Linked DNA regions of Drosophila melanogaster. The main gene of each other region encodes a partner of the protein of the gene in region 4 in a complex. Each region holds a gene or a part of one and is shown on either strand. Other genes may lie near its edges.

Evidence for each region.
Region 1: eIF3d2 (region 4) and eIF3f1 share a complex: the UniProt entries of both Drosophila melanogaster proteins name them as parts of the eukaryotic translation initiation factor 3 (eIF-3) complex.
Region 2: eIF3d2 (region 4) and eIF3i share a complex: the UniProt entries of both Drosophila melanogaster proteins name them as parts of the eukaryotic translation initiation factor 3 (eIF-3) complex.
Region 3: eIF3d2 (region 4) and eIF3h share a complex: the UniProt entries of both Drosophila melanogaster proteins name them as parts of the eukaryotic translation initiation factor 3 (eIF-3) complex.

What each region holds. Positions count from the first base shown.
Region 1 is NT_033777.3:4,712,318-4,715,701, forward strand, and holds eIF3f1 (eukaryotic translation initiation factor 3 subunit f1), read right to left. Parts: upstream 1,866-3,384; 5' UTR 1,769-1,865; coding exon 926-1,768; 3' UTR 565-925; downstream 1-564. UniProt on the Drosophila melanogaster protein: Component of the eukaryotic translation initiation factor 3 (eIF-3) complex, which is involved in protein synthesis of a specialized repertoire of mRNAs and, together with other initiation factors, stimulates binding of mRNA and methionyl-tRNAi to the 40S ribosome.
Region 2 is NT_033779.5:4,965,861-4,969,593, reverse strand, and holds eIF3i (eukaryotic translation initiation factor 3 subunit i), read left to right. Parts: upstream 1-1,818; 5' UTR 1,819-1,900; coding exon 1,901-1,903; intron 1,904-2,080; coding exon 2,081-2,570; intron 2,571-2,625; coding exon 2,626-3,113; 3' UTR 3,114-3,227; downstream 3,228-3,733. Other genes in the region: Polr1C (RNA polymerase I and III subunit C), read right to left, coding at 1-309, 370-509; Scox (synthesis of cytochrome c oxidase), read left to right, coding at 769-1,162, 1,226-1,587; CG34125 (uncharacterized protein), read right to left, coding at 3,320-3,712. UniProt on the Drosophila melanogaster protein: Component of the eukaryotic translation initiation factor 3 (eIF-3) complex, which is involved in protein synthesis of a specialized repertoire of mRNAs and, together with other initiation factors, stimulates binding of mRNA and methionyl-tRNAi to the 40S ribosome.
Region 3 is NT_033779.5:5,050,693-5,054,917, reverse strand, and holds eIF3h (eukaryotic translation initiation factor 3 subunit h), read left to right. Parts: upstream 1-1,834; 5' UTR 1,835-2,182; coding exon 2,183-2,263; intron 2,264-2,603; coding exon 2,604-3,281; intron 3,282-3,347; coding exon 3,348-3,605; 3' UTR 3,606-3,725; downstream 3,726-4,225. Other genes in the region: CG14036 (uncharacterized protein), read left to right, coding at 1-247; senju, read right to left, coding at 540-1,503, 1,562-1,679, 1,750-1,834; CG9121 (uncharacterized protein), read left to right, coding at 4,041-4,225. UniProt on the Drosophila melanogaster protein: Component of the eukaryotic translation initiation factor 3 (eIF-3) complex, which is involved in protein synthesis of a specialized repertoire of mRNAs and, together with other initiation factors, stimulates binding of mRNA and methionyl-tRNAi to the 40S ribosome.
Region 4 is NT_033777.3:12,192,139-12,196,722, forward strand, and holds eIF3d2 (eukaryotic translation initiation factor 3 subunit d2), read right to left. Parts: upstream 2,874-4,584; 5' UTR 2,815-2,873; coding exon 1,822-2,814; intron 1,745-1,821; coding exon 1,082-1,744; 3' UTR 565-1,081; downstream 1-564. Other genes in the region: CG43450 (uncharacterized protein), read left to right, coding at 3,203-3,349. UniProt on the Drosophila melanogaster protein: mRNA cap-binding component of the eukaryotic translation initiation factor 3 (eIF-3) complex, which is involved in protein synthesis of a specialized repertoire of mRNAs and, together with other initiation factors, stimulates binding of mRNA and methionyl-tRNAi to the 40S ribosome.

The DNA.
Region 1 (3,384 bases), 7.5 Mb from region 4:
TATATTTAAATTGGCCACACAAACTTTCATATGAAAAGTTTTTTTTTTAATTAATTTATATATTAAGGCATACGGGGAAATCTTGGAGCCCCTTTGTGTCCTTCTTTCATATGAAAAGTGTGTTTTTTTATGCTCTTTAGAGTACCTTTTATTCTTCACCAGGATCAAGAATCAGCGCAGTCGATCTGGCCATGTTTGTCCGCATGAACGTCAAGATCTCATGAACTATAAATGCTAGAAGATTAAGGATGCAGATTGCACAGAAAAGTGTAGGCGTAGCTCAAGTTTATCCTGGTGCTACCAAACAATTGAAAGTTAAGTAACGCATATGATGCAACGAGGTGCTGGTTATAAAATGTAAGAAACTAGTTTTTAATAGAATGTGTTGTCATATTTCGTCACAAAATTTGATATTATAACTTTTGTGTGCCGAAGGTACGATCATCAAAGTTTGATATTAAAGAATATAAATATTACTATTCTTACAATAAACCCAGCACCGATGCGACTCCCTGAAACCCTATAGAATAGTGAAGCTCACCAAAGACTGAAACACAACATTTTGTTTTAGCAGTTGGGTGCTAAATTTTCAGTTGCACATGCATTTATTTTGTTCCTGGTGATGAATACTGTTGTGTTTAAGAGTCTTCAGTAGATTCGAATGCTCCTACAAACGCCACATGGTCGTTTAGTGTAGGTGTCACAGGATTCATGCTGATTCTTCAATTGAGTTATAAAAAAGATAATCCCATATATATTTTCTTTAGTATGGAATGTCATTCTGACCAGAGTAATCGATACAAGTTTTGGTTTTTTTTTTTGGCGATCAGAGCACTTTATTACGTAGACCCCCATTGATAAAAAACACAATCAGTTTACAATGCCACCCTTAGTAGATATTACCACTTCAACAAACGCCGTCGTTCTAGGCGGTGGGCAGGAAGGTGAGCTTTTCGTTAAGCTGCAGCTGGGTTTTGATGAGCTGGGAGAGCGTGATGACCAGCAGAAGGTTGCGTACGTTGGCGTTGAACATCTGAGTGAACTGCTCGTGGGTCATGTGCGGCACGGAGTGGATAAGGTCTAGCAGCTGGCGTCCGACGGCGTTGTCGGGGGTTACCTTGTGAGCGATCACGTCGTCAACGTACTTGAGAATAAGATCCAGCAGGGACTGCAGCTTCGTGGAGGCCTCCGAGATTTGGGCCAGGTCCAGCATTGGCGGAACGGTCTTGGGACGGTGAGCGGGCGAAACGCCTACGGTCTTCTGAAGCAGCTTGAGCCCAAATGTCTCCGGCTCGTAGCTGGTCAGCTCGACAGGAATGGGCGTGAACATGCAGCCGCTCTTGCCGCCGGGAACTCCTAGTTGAATGCAGACATAAGCACGCAGACCCATACGTCCGCCCTGCAGCGAAGTGTCCACGGTGAGGTGAACCGGGTTGTTGCATTCGCGGGCGTAATACTCGTGGATCACCGAGCTGTGGTTGGTAACGTCGTTGCCGGTGGCCCACCAGCCTACCACGCTCTCGTTGGAGTTCACCTTGCGGTTGAGGTCGTACATGTCCAGGGCGTAGCTCAGCTCTGCCTCCACCTGGTCATCGTGCTCCTTGTGCGGCACACAGAAACAGTTGGTAACCTCCACCACACCTTTGTCCACAGAGCCGAGCAGGGTGCCGATGACGCGGTGCGAGTCCGCGTTCCGCCGCTCGAAGGCGTCCACCACCTGGAAAAGCACCACCGGGTGCACGCGCACGGTCAGATTGAGAGCCGACATGGTAATTTTCGGTGGCCAAGATTTGCAAGGAAAATTTCCGCAATAATTTCTATTCAGCCACGCTGCGCGTATGTTTTAGGGATGCAAGAAAAGGGCCTATCGATAGTGCGGGTGGGGGTTGATGGCTTTTGGAGCTATCGGTGCGGTCGTGCGTGGCCTATCGTTTTATCGATGTAAAACCGGTGGCTAGCGTTAGTTAATCAAATACTATTCAAATTTGAATATGTCGGAGATGCCAAGCGCGACTTTTCATTTACTTCAGCGTCCATATTGTCCAGCACATCAAGTCGCCTGCGTGTTGTTTCTTCTGTCGTTCTAAGCAGACTAATTTACTCAAGCGTCGCCTTCGCGATGCTTTTCTTCTATTCCTCACCTTCACTCAATTATTTCATCCTTACTTCGTTTCCAGAAACTATACAACAACAACAACAGCCACACAAATGATGCCCACTCAATAACGGAACGCTTTCCGTGAATTTCATTGCTCGCTGCTCATTCTTAACATAACGGATCAATAACAAAATGTCGGTTACATTCTACTACTCAATCTTGCTTGTGAAATTTTGCTGATCAAACGTGCTTAAAGCGAATTATTAAATTTAATAAAATGCCTGGAAAGAGATAAACTTTGAAGTTACCCAATTAATAAACTATAACCACCAGTTGGGAAAATCTTTTCCAGAATAAGTATAAATGTTTTCTGTATCCCGTAAGACCGTCTACTATTTTTTAAAAGGCTCGGAAAAAGAGGACAGGCTTGAACCTAAGAGTGGTGGTGGGCGGAAAATTAAAATTAAAAAGCGTGTAGACCGCTTTATTATGCGAATAGAGATTGCGAACCCCCGGTCAGATCACTTGCTCTGGATATCAGGCAAGAGTGTCACCTAACTGTGTCACACGAAACTGTGCGCCAAGTCATCCTACGCCATAGATACTCTTCAAGAGTTGCGAGGAAAAATCCTTTGCTATCAGATGCCAATATGGAAAAGCGTCATTAATTCGCTGTGAACAAGGTGGATCATCCAGAAGAGTACTGGGATGACGTCATATTTGGTGACGAAACAAAAATTATGCTCTTTTATAACGACGGGCCAAGCAGAGTATGGCGCAAACCGCTGAGTGCGCTAGAAAAACAAAATATCATTCCAACGATAAAATTTGGAAAAATGTCACTGATGGTTTGTGGCTGTATCACCAGCCATGGAGTGGGAAAACTAGCCTTAATTTAGAGCACAATAAATGCCGTGCAATATCTAGGAATCTTAAAAAACAAATTTGAAGGCCGGTGCAGAAAAATTTGGTCTAGTTAGCAACAACAAGCCAAATTTTATATTTTAAGAGGACATGATCAGAAACATAAAGAGTGCAATGTACGCACCTGGCGCCCTTATAACTGTGGTAAAGTGATCGATACGCCCCCTCAGAGTCCTGATCTGAACCCCATTTAAAATTTGTGGACCTACTTAAAGAAGAAGGTGGCAAAAAGGGACCTAAAACACGACAACAGCTTATGACTGTAATAGTCGAAGAGTGTGAAAAGATCCCGTTTGAATATGACCTGCAAAAACTTGTCCATTCCATGAAAAAAGGGCTTCAACTTGTAGCTAAAGCCAATG
Region 2 (3,733 bases), on a different chromosome or scaffold from region 4:
GACTGATCTTTTCCAGCATCCCGTCGCCGCGAGCACTTCACCTTCAGCTCAAATTCAAGCGTATCCTGCTCGGTCCCCGCCTCAGTGCTTTCCTCGGTGCGGTATGCGAATAGACGGGGATCAGCCCGCAACGGAAGTAGACCCATTCGATGGGCAAGTACCTCGTCCTGGATGATCGAGGTGTTGTTGTATATGTACACCTTTTCGATGGCCATGCTGGGCACATCGCTGAGCATCAGGCGACGGAAGGCATTTGCAATGGCGGGATACACGCCAATCAGATCGAACTCCAGGCCGTCTTCGTCGTTTCTAGAAGTGAACACCAATTGTTAATCGACTCGTAAGATTCTAATTTCTATTGAGATTTACCTGACGATTTTGATGTGCAGCTTTTCCTTGAAAGCCTGAACGGAAAATACATCGTCCGCCAGTCCATAGTCCTGCGGATCCTGCTTCACCCGATACTCCTCCATGTACAGAAGCGGCTCCTTGCGATTTTTGCTTGCCATTTGCCCCGGTGTTTTTATTAAATAATTTAACAAAATTGAACCGCACGTGTTGGAATCAATAAGACCGCCTTCTAATACCAAAATATACCAAACTAACTAACAAACTAACTAATATACTAAATAAATATACTTTATGTACTAAATAAATGCTGTTTCGCCGTGACTGGCTGAATAGGAAGAAGCAGCAGGACACCGGCGATATTTTTATTTCTCCAGAAGATTTACGTAAAGCCTTCAAATTTCTGAAACCGGGCGTAAGATGTCCCGCTCCCTGCAACGCTTAGTGGGCAGCTGTCGTCGCTGGGCACAACAGCCCGCAATTCGTCATTATGCCGCTCCCGCAGATTCCACTAAAGGCAAGGGTCCGATCTCTTGGAGAAGTCTGGCCGTCATTGGAGCCCTTGGAGCCGGAGGAGTGGGCTTCATGCTGTACGTGAAGAGCGAGAAGGATGAGGCGAGAATGAAGGAGCGTCAGCGGCAATTGGGAAAAGCAGCCATCGGCGGCAGTTGGGAATTAGTTGATTCGCAGGGAGCTGTTCGCAAATCGGAGGACTTCTTAGGCAAGTGGCTGCTCATCTATTTTGGCTTCACCCACTGCCCGGATATTTGTCCCGATGAGCTAGAGAAGATGGCCGCCGTCGTCGATGAAGTTGGTAAGTAGAGCCTGACTATTTCTTCCAAACCCAAAAAAAACCATGTTTCTCAAACCTTCACAGAAAAGTCCCCGCAAACGCCAGCAGTGCAGCCCATCTTTATCACCGTTGACCCAGAACGTGACTCCAAAGAGGTGGTGGCCAAATACGTAAAAGAGTTCTCCCCCAAACTGCTGGGACTCACGGGAACCGTCGAACAAATCCGCAAAGTGTGCAAGGCCTTCAGGGTTTATTTCAGCGCTGGACCGCGGGACGAGGACAACGATTATATTGTGGATCACACCATCATCATGTACCTGGTCAATCCCGATGGCGAGTTTGTCGATTACTACGGCCAAAATCGGGACAAGGACCAGTGTGTGGCATCCATTTTGGTGAACATAGCCAAGTGGAATTCAATGAACAAAAAGGGATGGTTCAGCTAGGCTGGCTAAGCTAGGCAAATGTTGTTTCGTTGTATTTACTTAATGTATGGCATAAAATATGGTTTTTACTTGATGTATATCAAGTTTTAAATCCAAATTTTCGTTTATATTGGCTATACCTTAAGTTCTAGATTGTAAAAATTTCTGGTTGTTCAAAATAAACTTGATTAACGGTATTTTTTAGATCCCCCTGGTATATCGAAGTGAGATTTTGACTAGGCCACGGTCACACTGCTCTTTTGGCGTGTAGTGCTGCGTGGATGTTGTTGCAAAAATATTCGTTTTCTCGCAACAAATAACAATATAATACAAAATGGTGCGTGCCTGGTCAATGACTACACAGTTTGCATTATTCCGGATGGGTTTCTTTAGAATTTACCCGAAATTACAACTATTTGCAAAGTGTGAAAGTCGTGTGAAATTCCGGACCAAACATAACCTTAAAAGCGGCCTAAATTGTTGCTAAAAATTCGTATTATTCTGTCTTTTATAGCGTCCGTTGATGCTTCAGGGCCACGAGCGTTCCATAACGCAAATCAAGTACAACCGCGAGGGCGACCTGCTCTTCTCCTGCTCCAAGGATCAGAAGCCCAATGTGTGGTACTCGCTGAACGGAGAACGTTTGGGCACCTACGATGGTCACCAGGGTGCGGTCTGGTGCCTGGATGTGGACTGGGAGAGCCGTAAGCTCATCACCGGCGCCGGTGATATGACCGCTAAGATCTGGGACGTCGAGTACGGCACCGTTATCGCCTCCATTCCGACCAAGTCATCGGTGCGCACCAGCAACTTCAGCTTCTCGGGCAACCAGGCAGCCTACTCAACGGACAAAGCGATGGGACAGAGCTGTGAACTGTTCCTCATCGATGTCCGCAACGCCGATTCCTCGTTGTCGGAGCAGGAGCCCACACTCCGCATCCCGATGACCGAGTCCAAAATTACGTCGATGTTGTGGGGTCCTCTGGATGAGACCATCATCACAGGTTGGTGTTTACCCGATAATCTATTATGAAAACCGTTTAAAACCCGTATTTCCAGGTCACGATAATGGCAACATTGCCATCTGGGACATCCGTAAGGGTCAAAAGGTGGTTGACTCTGGCACGGATCACAGCGCTGGCATCAACGACATGCAGTTGAGCAAGGATGGCACCATGTTTGTGACCGCCTCCAAGGACACCACCGCCAAATTGTTCGATTCGGAGTCCCTGATGTGCCTCAAGACCTACAAAACGGAGCGTCCAGTAAACTCGGCGGCCATCAGCCCAATCATGGATCATGTCGTGCTGGGCGGCGGTCAAGATGCCATGGAGGTGACCACTACGTCTACGAAGGCTGGCAAGTTTGACTCGCGCTTCTTCCACCTGATATACGAGGAGGAGTTCGCCCGACTCAAGGGCCATTTCGGACCCATCAACAGTTTGGCCTTCCATCCGGACGGCAAGAGTTACGCCTCGGGCGGAGAAGATGGTTTCGTGCGTGTCCAGACATTCGATAGTACATACTTTGAGAACATCTTCGAGTAGTTTGTATCCAGTAGTGATTTAGTAGGATCAGAGCCGGTGGACTTAACATAACCATTTCACCGGCGACATGTTCGTTTGCTTAGGGAACTTTCAAATATACGCGAGGACGAAACGAAACGGATCGCGTCGTTTATTTTTATAACATCAAAGGAGTGGAAAGAGGTACAACATGATTATATTCGAGTAAATGGTGTGCCATGTGTAACCTAAAAAAAGGAACGCTTTTTTTGCTTGAGAACCACAGGCTGACCCTGCATGGCCGCCCACTGAGCCGGTGTGGGCAGGCAGCCCGGCGGAGGAGGCGGAATGACGACATTTCCGTTGGAATTTGTCCTCACCTCGGCCCGTGAGTCCAAGTGGAGGACCTGTGCTGCAGCTGCTCCTGCCGACGTACTGGGACCAGCAAGTCCGAAGCCACTGCCATGTGTCATACCGTAGTTGGGCTGCCCGCTGAAGGGCATCTGCTGTTGCTGGTGGCTGATCATGCCGTAATACTGATTCTGGCTGGGCGGAGCACCTCCTCCTTGTGGATAGCCATAGGCACCAGCACCGGTGCCGCCGTTTCGCTGGCTTTCTTCATACGTTGGCGGAGGAGCTCGCTAGAAGTCGCAAAACTTTAG
Region 3 (4,225 bases), on a different chromosome or scaffold from region 4:
CAAATCGCACCGCATCTTGCTCTTCCGGATGCCCAAGCACTTAATTAAGTGCGAGAAGAACTACTGTGGACCGCCGCTGCAGACCTGCAAGTACAACGCCACACACCGAGTCCAGGACATGGAGAAGCATCTGAAGGAGTGTGACTACTATCTCCGCAGCATCGAAAACCAGGCGGTGCAGATAGCGCTTCGTAGTCGCATACCGCCCAAACAGGAAGATGGACATGATGTGGACACACCATTTTAGGCTAAGACAAGCAGGCATCCAAATATACCATGTACATATGTGATAGTATATGAACCATAAAATAAAAAGCTTCTTGAAGAAGCATGCACAATATTCGTTTGATTGCATTTATGTTCTGATTAAAATAAGAATCTTAAACTAGAGGAGCAAAAGTTTTGGTATTTACAAGCCTGTTGCTATTGCATTGCACAAAGCCTGGGGTCAAATACATTCGTCTGGCGTTTAAAACATTTGCAGGCACTTTTCCACAACTATTTACAGTCTAAGATTACGTCTAGGACAAGCTACAGCATTACACCATATCGAGGTCCGATTCTGCCGCTTCCTCGTCGATCAGCTTTCGTTTATCCGTTGATTTGGTCGTGGCATCACTTAAATTGGACAGCGGACGCACCTTGCCCAAATTAACCACCGGGCTTTGGGTGTAGAGATAGATGGCGTAGGATACAACCGCGATGGCCAGCGCGGTGTTCATGTAAATGGGTATGGAGAAGAGGAAGTAGCATAGGACTGCCGTGAAGAGCAACTCCAGAGCGCTCGCGAAGGTCTTTAGAATGGAGTTCATGTACTTGAGGAAGAAACTCGTGACAATGCCAATAGCCGCATTGTTAACAATAATGATTAGCACGCTAAAGCGCATAATACTGCCCAGATTCTGCGGACTAAAGGCATCAAGGAGCTCGCCGCGCAGCAAGAGGATGACTGCATTGCAGACAATCGAGTCCAGGTACATGAAGACATTCTGTACAAAGATATTCACATCGGCTCCCTTATCTTTAAGCAGATACTCATTGTAAACGCCCGCCAGACAAGAGCAAATTGTCTGTGCCAGAATGAAGACGGCACTCAGGCTAAAATCGAAGCCGGACATGTTCTTGCCGTGAGCGTGCGTCTCTGCAGAAGTTGTTTTATTATGTGATTGCAGCTGCTGCTGTATGGCTGCGGACTCGCTGTCATCATTCGCATCGCTGTAGAAGCTGCCGAAATCGACCTGCTTCATCATACAGCCGAGTGTCAGCAGTATGAGGGAGATCCATTGCCTTTGCGACAGGTACTTCTTGAAGATAATTTGGAATAGTATGCCCGTGACAACGACACGTAGCTGCAGTAGCAGATAGTAGGTGGTGGGATCGAATGTGGCCAAGTTGACAAAGGCCAAATTGTTGTACAGGCAGTAGAGAAAGGCGGGCACCATGTACAAGCCCAATACATTCCGATCCTTCTGAACATCGCGCACCAGGGAGCGTAGGTTGTTGCTGTGAATGAAATCGCGGTTTAATAGCGAGACAAAGGAGCGCCTCCACTCCTACTCACTCTCGGCAATACAGACAGGTGGAGACTATCAATTTAAAGACCTCGGTTAGCAGCACAACCGTGACGGTATTGTAGCCATAGGAGTTATTCGATTCCTGAGATGCTGTGACAAAGATGCCTGCAAAATAGACAGGAATTAGGGTGCGGCTTTGGCTTGCGTAAAAAGCCTTAATAAGGCAGCTGCATACCCTGTCCTATGAATAGGGACATGTACAACAGGAAGATCACAAATGTGAGCTTGGTGGGGAACAATTCACGCCAATTAGTTGACATTTCTGCGGTCTTCGTACTGCCAGCGTTGCGTTGCTAATGCGAAGAGAACTAAGACTAGCTACAAGTTGCGGCAACCGCAGTTATCAGTACCGTTCCGCTCGTTCGTGACAAGTGGGCCGTTTCTCGGTTTTCTAGGAAGTACAATTTTGAGTTTGTTTCTGTTGCTTTTCCACTGATAAACAAAATATATTTTGGGCCTTTTTTTATCGCTCGCCCGAACAGCTGATTTTAAAGCAGTGCACGCTTTTCAACACTTCAACCCACACAAAAATTGTGGTGTTGCGAAACGCCCTTTTACCACTGCAGCCGAGTTCACGTCGTGGGTCTTTTCGCTTACAATTCGTCAACATGGCAAATCGCGCAAATCGTCATGCTGCTCGCACCGAGGATTCGGATAATACCATTAACTACGTCCAATGCGACGGACTGGTGAGTAGTGCTGTTGGCCAAAAGACCTGGCCGAGATTGGCCCGTGGGAACCGGCGCGAAAGCCGGAAAAGTTAATGCCACGCGCTGTCTCAGAAATTTGCGTGCTTTGTGTGTGTTTGTATGGGTGTTCGTGAGGACATGGGCGTAGAGCTATAAGGAAAAGGGGGCCGGTCTCTTCATTACCATAGCACAAAAAACTTCAGTCAAATGTTTTCTTCAGAGAAACTATTAAAAGAAAGTCCGAAATATATCTACTTTCCACGCCCCTGTTCAAATGCAAATAGTTGTCTGTCGCTAATTGATTTTGGAACATAATTACTACGATCACTTTACCTTGCAGGCCGTCATGAAGATGGTGAAGCACTGCCATGAGGAGTCGAGCAACATGGACCTCGCCCAGGGCGCCCTGCTCGGTCTGGTGGTAGACAAGTGCCTGGAGATCACCAACTGCTTCCCGTTTCCCAAGAGCGGCGATGAGACCATGGACGAGGAGATGTACCAGCTGACCGTGATGCGTCGCCTGCGTCGCGTCAACGTAGATCATCTCCATGTGGGCTGGTACCAGAGCTCCGACGTGGGCAACAGCCTGTCAATGGCTCTGTTGGAATCGCAGTACCACTACCAGACCAGCATTGAAGAGTCCGTCGTTGTCGTCTACGATACGCAGAAGTCATCCCGCGGATTCCTGTGCTTGAAGGCCTACCGCCTTACTCCGCAGGCCATTCAGATGTACAAGGATGGCGACTTCACTCCAGAGGCATTCCGCACCCTGAAGGTCGGCTACGAGAACCTCTTCGCCGAGATTCCCATTGTGATCAAGAACTCGCCGCTGACCAACATTATGATGAGCGAGCTGAACGAGCTGCTGCCCGAGGACAAGGGGCACAACTTCCTGGACCTGGGCACCGCCACCGTATTGGAGAACCAAATGCGTAGCCTGATCGAGCGCGTCGACGAGTTGTACCAGGAGGCAGTGCGCTATAACAAGTACCAGCAGGTGGTCTTCAAGCAGGATACGGTACGTAGCAATATAATTAAATATGTAAAAATTCCTAATCGCTTTCCTTGCATTTATATTTTTTAGGAGAAGCACCGTGCTCTGGCTAAGCTGGCCGCCGAGAACGCCGTTCGCACATCGAAGGGAGAGCCCACGGTGCCAGAGGAGGAAGTGATCAAACAGTTCCGCCCCATGACTGCGCCCAACCGCCTGACGGCCACCATAACCTCTGGCCAGATCAATACCCACGCCCAGCATATCGCACAATTCTGTTCGCAATCGCTGGCCAAACTCTTCATCACGGAATCGCTGCAAATTGCCAAGGAAGCAAAGGAAACCAAATAGATTAGCTAATGTTAAGCGTTTTTTAAGCTGAGGCAACAACATTCACTACCCACAAACATAGCAACTGCACACACAGACGTCGAAAATAAACCAAACAAGCGATGAGTGGGCTTGGAAGCGAACTGCCAGCTGATTTCTTCTTTATTGTACTCTCCATTTGCTCAATAGAATGGCCAATTCAAACCGCCCCAAAAAAAGAAAACCACCACCCGCTATGCAGCCAAAAATTGGTACTGCTTCTGCGCACGCCGGATGTTTGGTTTCACTTCTCGATGAGACTTTCCGGGGGAGTGTTGCTGCCACTGACGACATCGACGCACTTTTCACACCACCCCACAAGCAGCTGCTTATCATTTGGTTTGTTCTTTTCGCTTCGCCTTTTCGCTAACCAGCTTCAGTTAGCCTAACTAACTAAATTACTAACCCGATGGCAAAATGCTGTCCTACGACCTCAACGAACGCCTGCTAACCGCCGTACAGAGCGGAGATTTCGAGCAGGCTCTGGGCTGCATCATGCAAGGTGCCCAGGCCTCGTATGTATCGCCCACTTGCGGACGCACTGCCGTGGGCACGGCGGCCATTCTGGGCGATGCCGAACTGTTGGAGCTGCTGCTTCAATC
Region 4 (4,584 bases):
CCTGCAGGCACACACACAGGCACACATGTTGATTTAGCAAACAAAATGTTTTAATTGAATAACACTTTGGTGTTTCACTGCTGCTTACTGGCAAGATCAAGTGCCTTTCCGGCCAACTGTGCGTATACTTGATGTGCACACATATACATATGTATGTGCTGCATTGTGAATCTGTGCACTGCCACATAATGGACCGACTTTATCAATCAAATTTGCCGCAGGCAGGGAATTAAAATTAATCGGTTTCAATTTTCATTTGCGTAAATTCCCTAAATATTTTCACACACTTATTTCACACCCAGGCATCATCATTTGCTCATCCTGTCTGGGGAAGAAAGGGAGTGCAAGCCTATCCATGCAAATTGAATAGGTCTAAATTCAATTTGGCGCTGAACAAAAAGAAATTGGCGGACGGAGAAACAAAAACAAAAATGCGCAAAACATTTTGGTAATTTAGTTGAGCGATTTGCATTTCCGTTGGGGAATAATTTCTGCACTTTTGTGCTCACTGACTGCCCAAATTGAATTGCCAAATAACAAAAAAGGCAGGATGCATATGAAATTCGAGCACATATATGAATTTAATTAAATGCTGTTGAATACGAAAACATTTTGCTTAAATTGTCGCACGCCAAGCACCACAGCAGCATCAGAATTTGCATTGATTGATGCCGTGTTCGGTGATTTATTGATCCTGAGGTTTGTCACCCAAACAGCCCTTCACCCATTTCAGCCCCAGTTCCACTCCCCCGCAATTATTGTGATTGTCAGTCGGTAATGGCGGGGGATGTTCTGCACAATGCATATTTATTTAGCCGGGTTTCATTTTGTATTTCTTGGAACCGCAGTGATTGATGTGGCCATGTTATCCTCAAAATAACTGTGACTGCACCCGGTCACCCGGTCCGTTGTTCACTGACATGTCAAGTGATGGCTCCGTTCATATGTTGTGTTTGGTCAAAAACTCAATTTAAATTGCATTTGTGTTCACTGCGCATCTGTCAGCATGTGTCGGCTTGTCTCGTCCGTCGACGGATCCCCTTGTTCGGAGAACTATTAGTTGAATAAATTCGTGAGGGCGTTAGTTATCGTTGGAGTTACTCAAGGGATCGCTGGACTCCTCCTCCTCATCGCCGTCGGAGTCGAAGGCGTTTTCCGGAACGTCATACAGACGGATCATCGGCTTGTTGGGATCCTTCATGATCAGATACTTTCCATCCGGTTGCCTCATCACAAGGTCAATTAGGCAACGCAATACTCCCCAGGCATTGTCCATGTTCAGGTTGATTTGGGTGGCGAACTCCTGCGGCTTGAATTGCTGTGTGCCAAGGATCACGTGACGCAGGTGATCACGCGGATTCATCCTGGACACATAGCCTAACTTCAGTTGATCGGAACCAGCCAGCACAGCCTCAACGGTCCATCGAGCTAGCTTACAAGCATTGTTGCGCAACTCGGAGGCCAAGACTGCACCGCGCTGGGTGTCCAACTTCTGGCGCCACTCCACACTGTTGGTCACCTTGGAGTCCCATTCATTCAGCGCCTTGATCGAGAGGAACTGCACGTCCCCATTGGGTCCTTGGATAACCCCATTGTGCTTGCAGCGAGCAATCAGCACCACATCGTTGCCCAGATCCCACTGACGGTAGCGATAGCCAATGGAGGCAAGATCCACGCCTGGCTCCTCGAACGGATTGGGCTCCTCAAACATGAAACGTGGCTCTTGGTCGCCAATGCGAAGAACCTTTTAAAAATAAATAACATAAGATTTAAAAACGTACAATAACAAATAACATAAATTGAAACCTACTGTAAACCTACCTGCTGGCTAAAGTTGTGATTAATTAGAGTGGCCTCCATTGCCAAGCTATGTGCCGAATTGATGGAACCCTCCTCATCCATCGGAGGTTCTACTGAAGTCTCGTTGACAGTCAGCAAATCAAATTGATCATTATATCTCTTATCTAAGAACACCTTAGTGCCCAATTTCTCGACTACCACATCCCAAGAGTAATTGGAGCGTGTGCAGCACATTATGGTGGACAAGATTTCGTCGGTGGCAAAGACATTGCCCATGGTCCTCGAAAGACGACGAATAACCGGATCATCCGTGGTCGTCACGGTGTGCACAACACGATCCATCTTTTGCAATGGTTTTTCATTGCGTAAGTTGACTCGATCGTATAACTTATCATAAAATTCCAGCCATCCGCAGGTGGCAATGTCCTTACCATCTTTAATATTGGGAAGTGCCAGCTTGAGAAGGCGTGGAAAATCAATCTCCTCGATCGAAACCCAATCCGATTGCACCATCACTGAGCTCTCGCGGATTCTGGTGGGAGCATTGCGACCGAATCTGCGACCCATATTCTGCGTGTTGCGTGTATTGCGACCCTTTCCGTACTTGGTGGTACTGGCAGTTGCGCCTCCAGCCGTGGATCCCCCGAGACTTGCTATATTCGGAGTGCCACGCCCCGTGCGACCCCTGCTCCTCACATTGTTGCGCATATTGGGTCTATAGCGTCCCCGCTGATAGGGCTTGGTGGCCTTCGATCCAGTGGTGTCCACCAAATGGAAGGTGGAGTCATCGTCCTCGTAGAAGTATGCGTACTGACTGTTGTTGCCAAAGGTCGAGGCGTATTTACTGGGGAACTTCTTCTCGGGCACCATCGCAGTCCAGTCGCAGATCTTGCCCAGGCGATCACTTTTGCAGAACGGCTGGTAGGGCACATCCAATTCGGGTACCTCGCAAGGACCCCAGCCGTGCTCGTTGTACTCCACATAGGGCTTGATAAAGGGTGCGTAGTTGGACATAATCACGCCGAAAGATGTTTAAATAACCAAGAGCAAGTATTTACATTTATGTGATCCGGTTTTGTCGAGGTACAAATTACACTGAGCTGATTTCGTATGGCCGGCTTGACAGCTTGGGAAAATTTTCCAAGCCCTACGTTTGGATAATGTTATAATATGAAAAAGGCGGTTTTATCCATTAAGGAAATAACCGAATATCCAATCTTTAAATAATTTTTGATAGACAACTAAAAAGATTTCTTCAAAAGCCTATAGTAAGTAGATTGAAGCCTATTGTGAGAAATCAAAAGATACCAATTCCTCACAATAAAAGCTCAGTCTTATTTGTATTTCTAGTCACACCGAAACCCTATAAACTACACAAAGTGAGAAGTAAGACGTTTGGAGAATGAATCTTAGGAGGACGCCCTGCCCCCAATTAAACACCACCGCAACCACAATGAAGAAATGTGTAATTGCCTGTTCGTCTTTCGGTTCTCCGTCAACGTCGTGCTGCTCTCATTGGCCACGATTATTCTCATCCTCCGCATGGTGAGCTGATCCAGGATGGGCGCGGGGATCCCCTTCCAGCCGACAAATTCTTGTTTCTTATTATCTTTTATAAAAAACCCTCACTAAGCGCACAAATAAATGTTTGTTGAGCTGTGGAAATGGTACAGGAAGCGGGGTACTGTGACGGGATTATCACTTGACGACGCATCTAAGCTCACATCGACATGACTCCATTCATATGACTCCAACTCCAGCACCATTGTTCTGACCCAAGTATCAGGAAAGCAAAGGAACAACAGCGGAGTGCACTACAATGGGACGAGTGTCCTGTGTGCTGGATCTGGTCAACTTGGCTCAGTCCTCACTGTGTTCCGGTTCGGTTTCCTTATTCTTGGCTGGGAGCACCTTACAACAATCTCGTTAAGCGTAAAGGCCAAATTATAGTAAAACTAACAGAAGGCAAAAGGTAATCACATAAAAAGCTTGTTAGATAACAACGTGTGAGGCGGCGAAAAAGGAAGCGGACATCCTGCACTCCGGCTCATACCCAAAAAGCAACATGTCGAGCGTGTGAATGTGCCTGAATGTGTGGAAAATGATATGGGTGCGAGCGGGATGACAGTGGGAGTGCGGTGCCTCCGCCCCTCTTCCAGCACCCAGATCCTGAGCTAAGCTTTGTCAAGCGACAGGGTGTCATGTTGATGTGTATGTCACTGGCAGCTGCTGCTTACATGGCCCGGCTCCAGATTCCCTCGCACTTCTCTGTTGATACACTGCGAGAATATGAAGAGATAATGTCAAATGTAAGAATAGAAGACCAAGAATGCATACCAAGAATATAATAATGGGTTCTGTGGAGCAATAACAATGGGAACTTATTTTGACTGAAATAATTCCTATTTTACCATTGAATTGATTTCAGTGTAGCCATAAGCCGTGGATGAGTGTGCGTCTGAGTGAGTGTATGTGTGTGTGGATTATAATTGCCATGCGGCTGTCAGTGACTGCAGGCGGCGCCTAACTGCACACAGCTGCAGATGTGCGGCTCGTGTTGCAATATCATTTTTAATGCAAACCGCATGCCACATTATGCAGCTGCATTGCCACGTCACCGCTGCGGTTTCTCCATCCCCATCCGCCTTCCGCTTTCCAACCTCCGGATTTACCCTCTCATCTCCAGCTCATCTGCAATCGCTCCTGCCGCTGAAGCTTTTCTTCTGCCACTGCCGGTCTTGTAGGAAAAAGCGGTAGCGGCTTGGTGAAAGGAACACAGCCAAG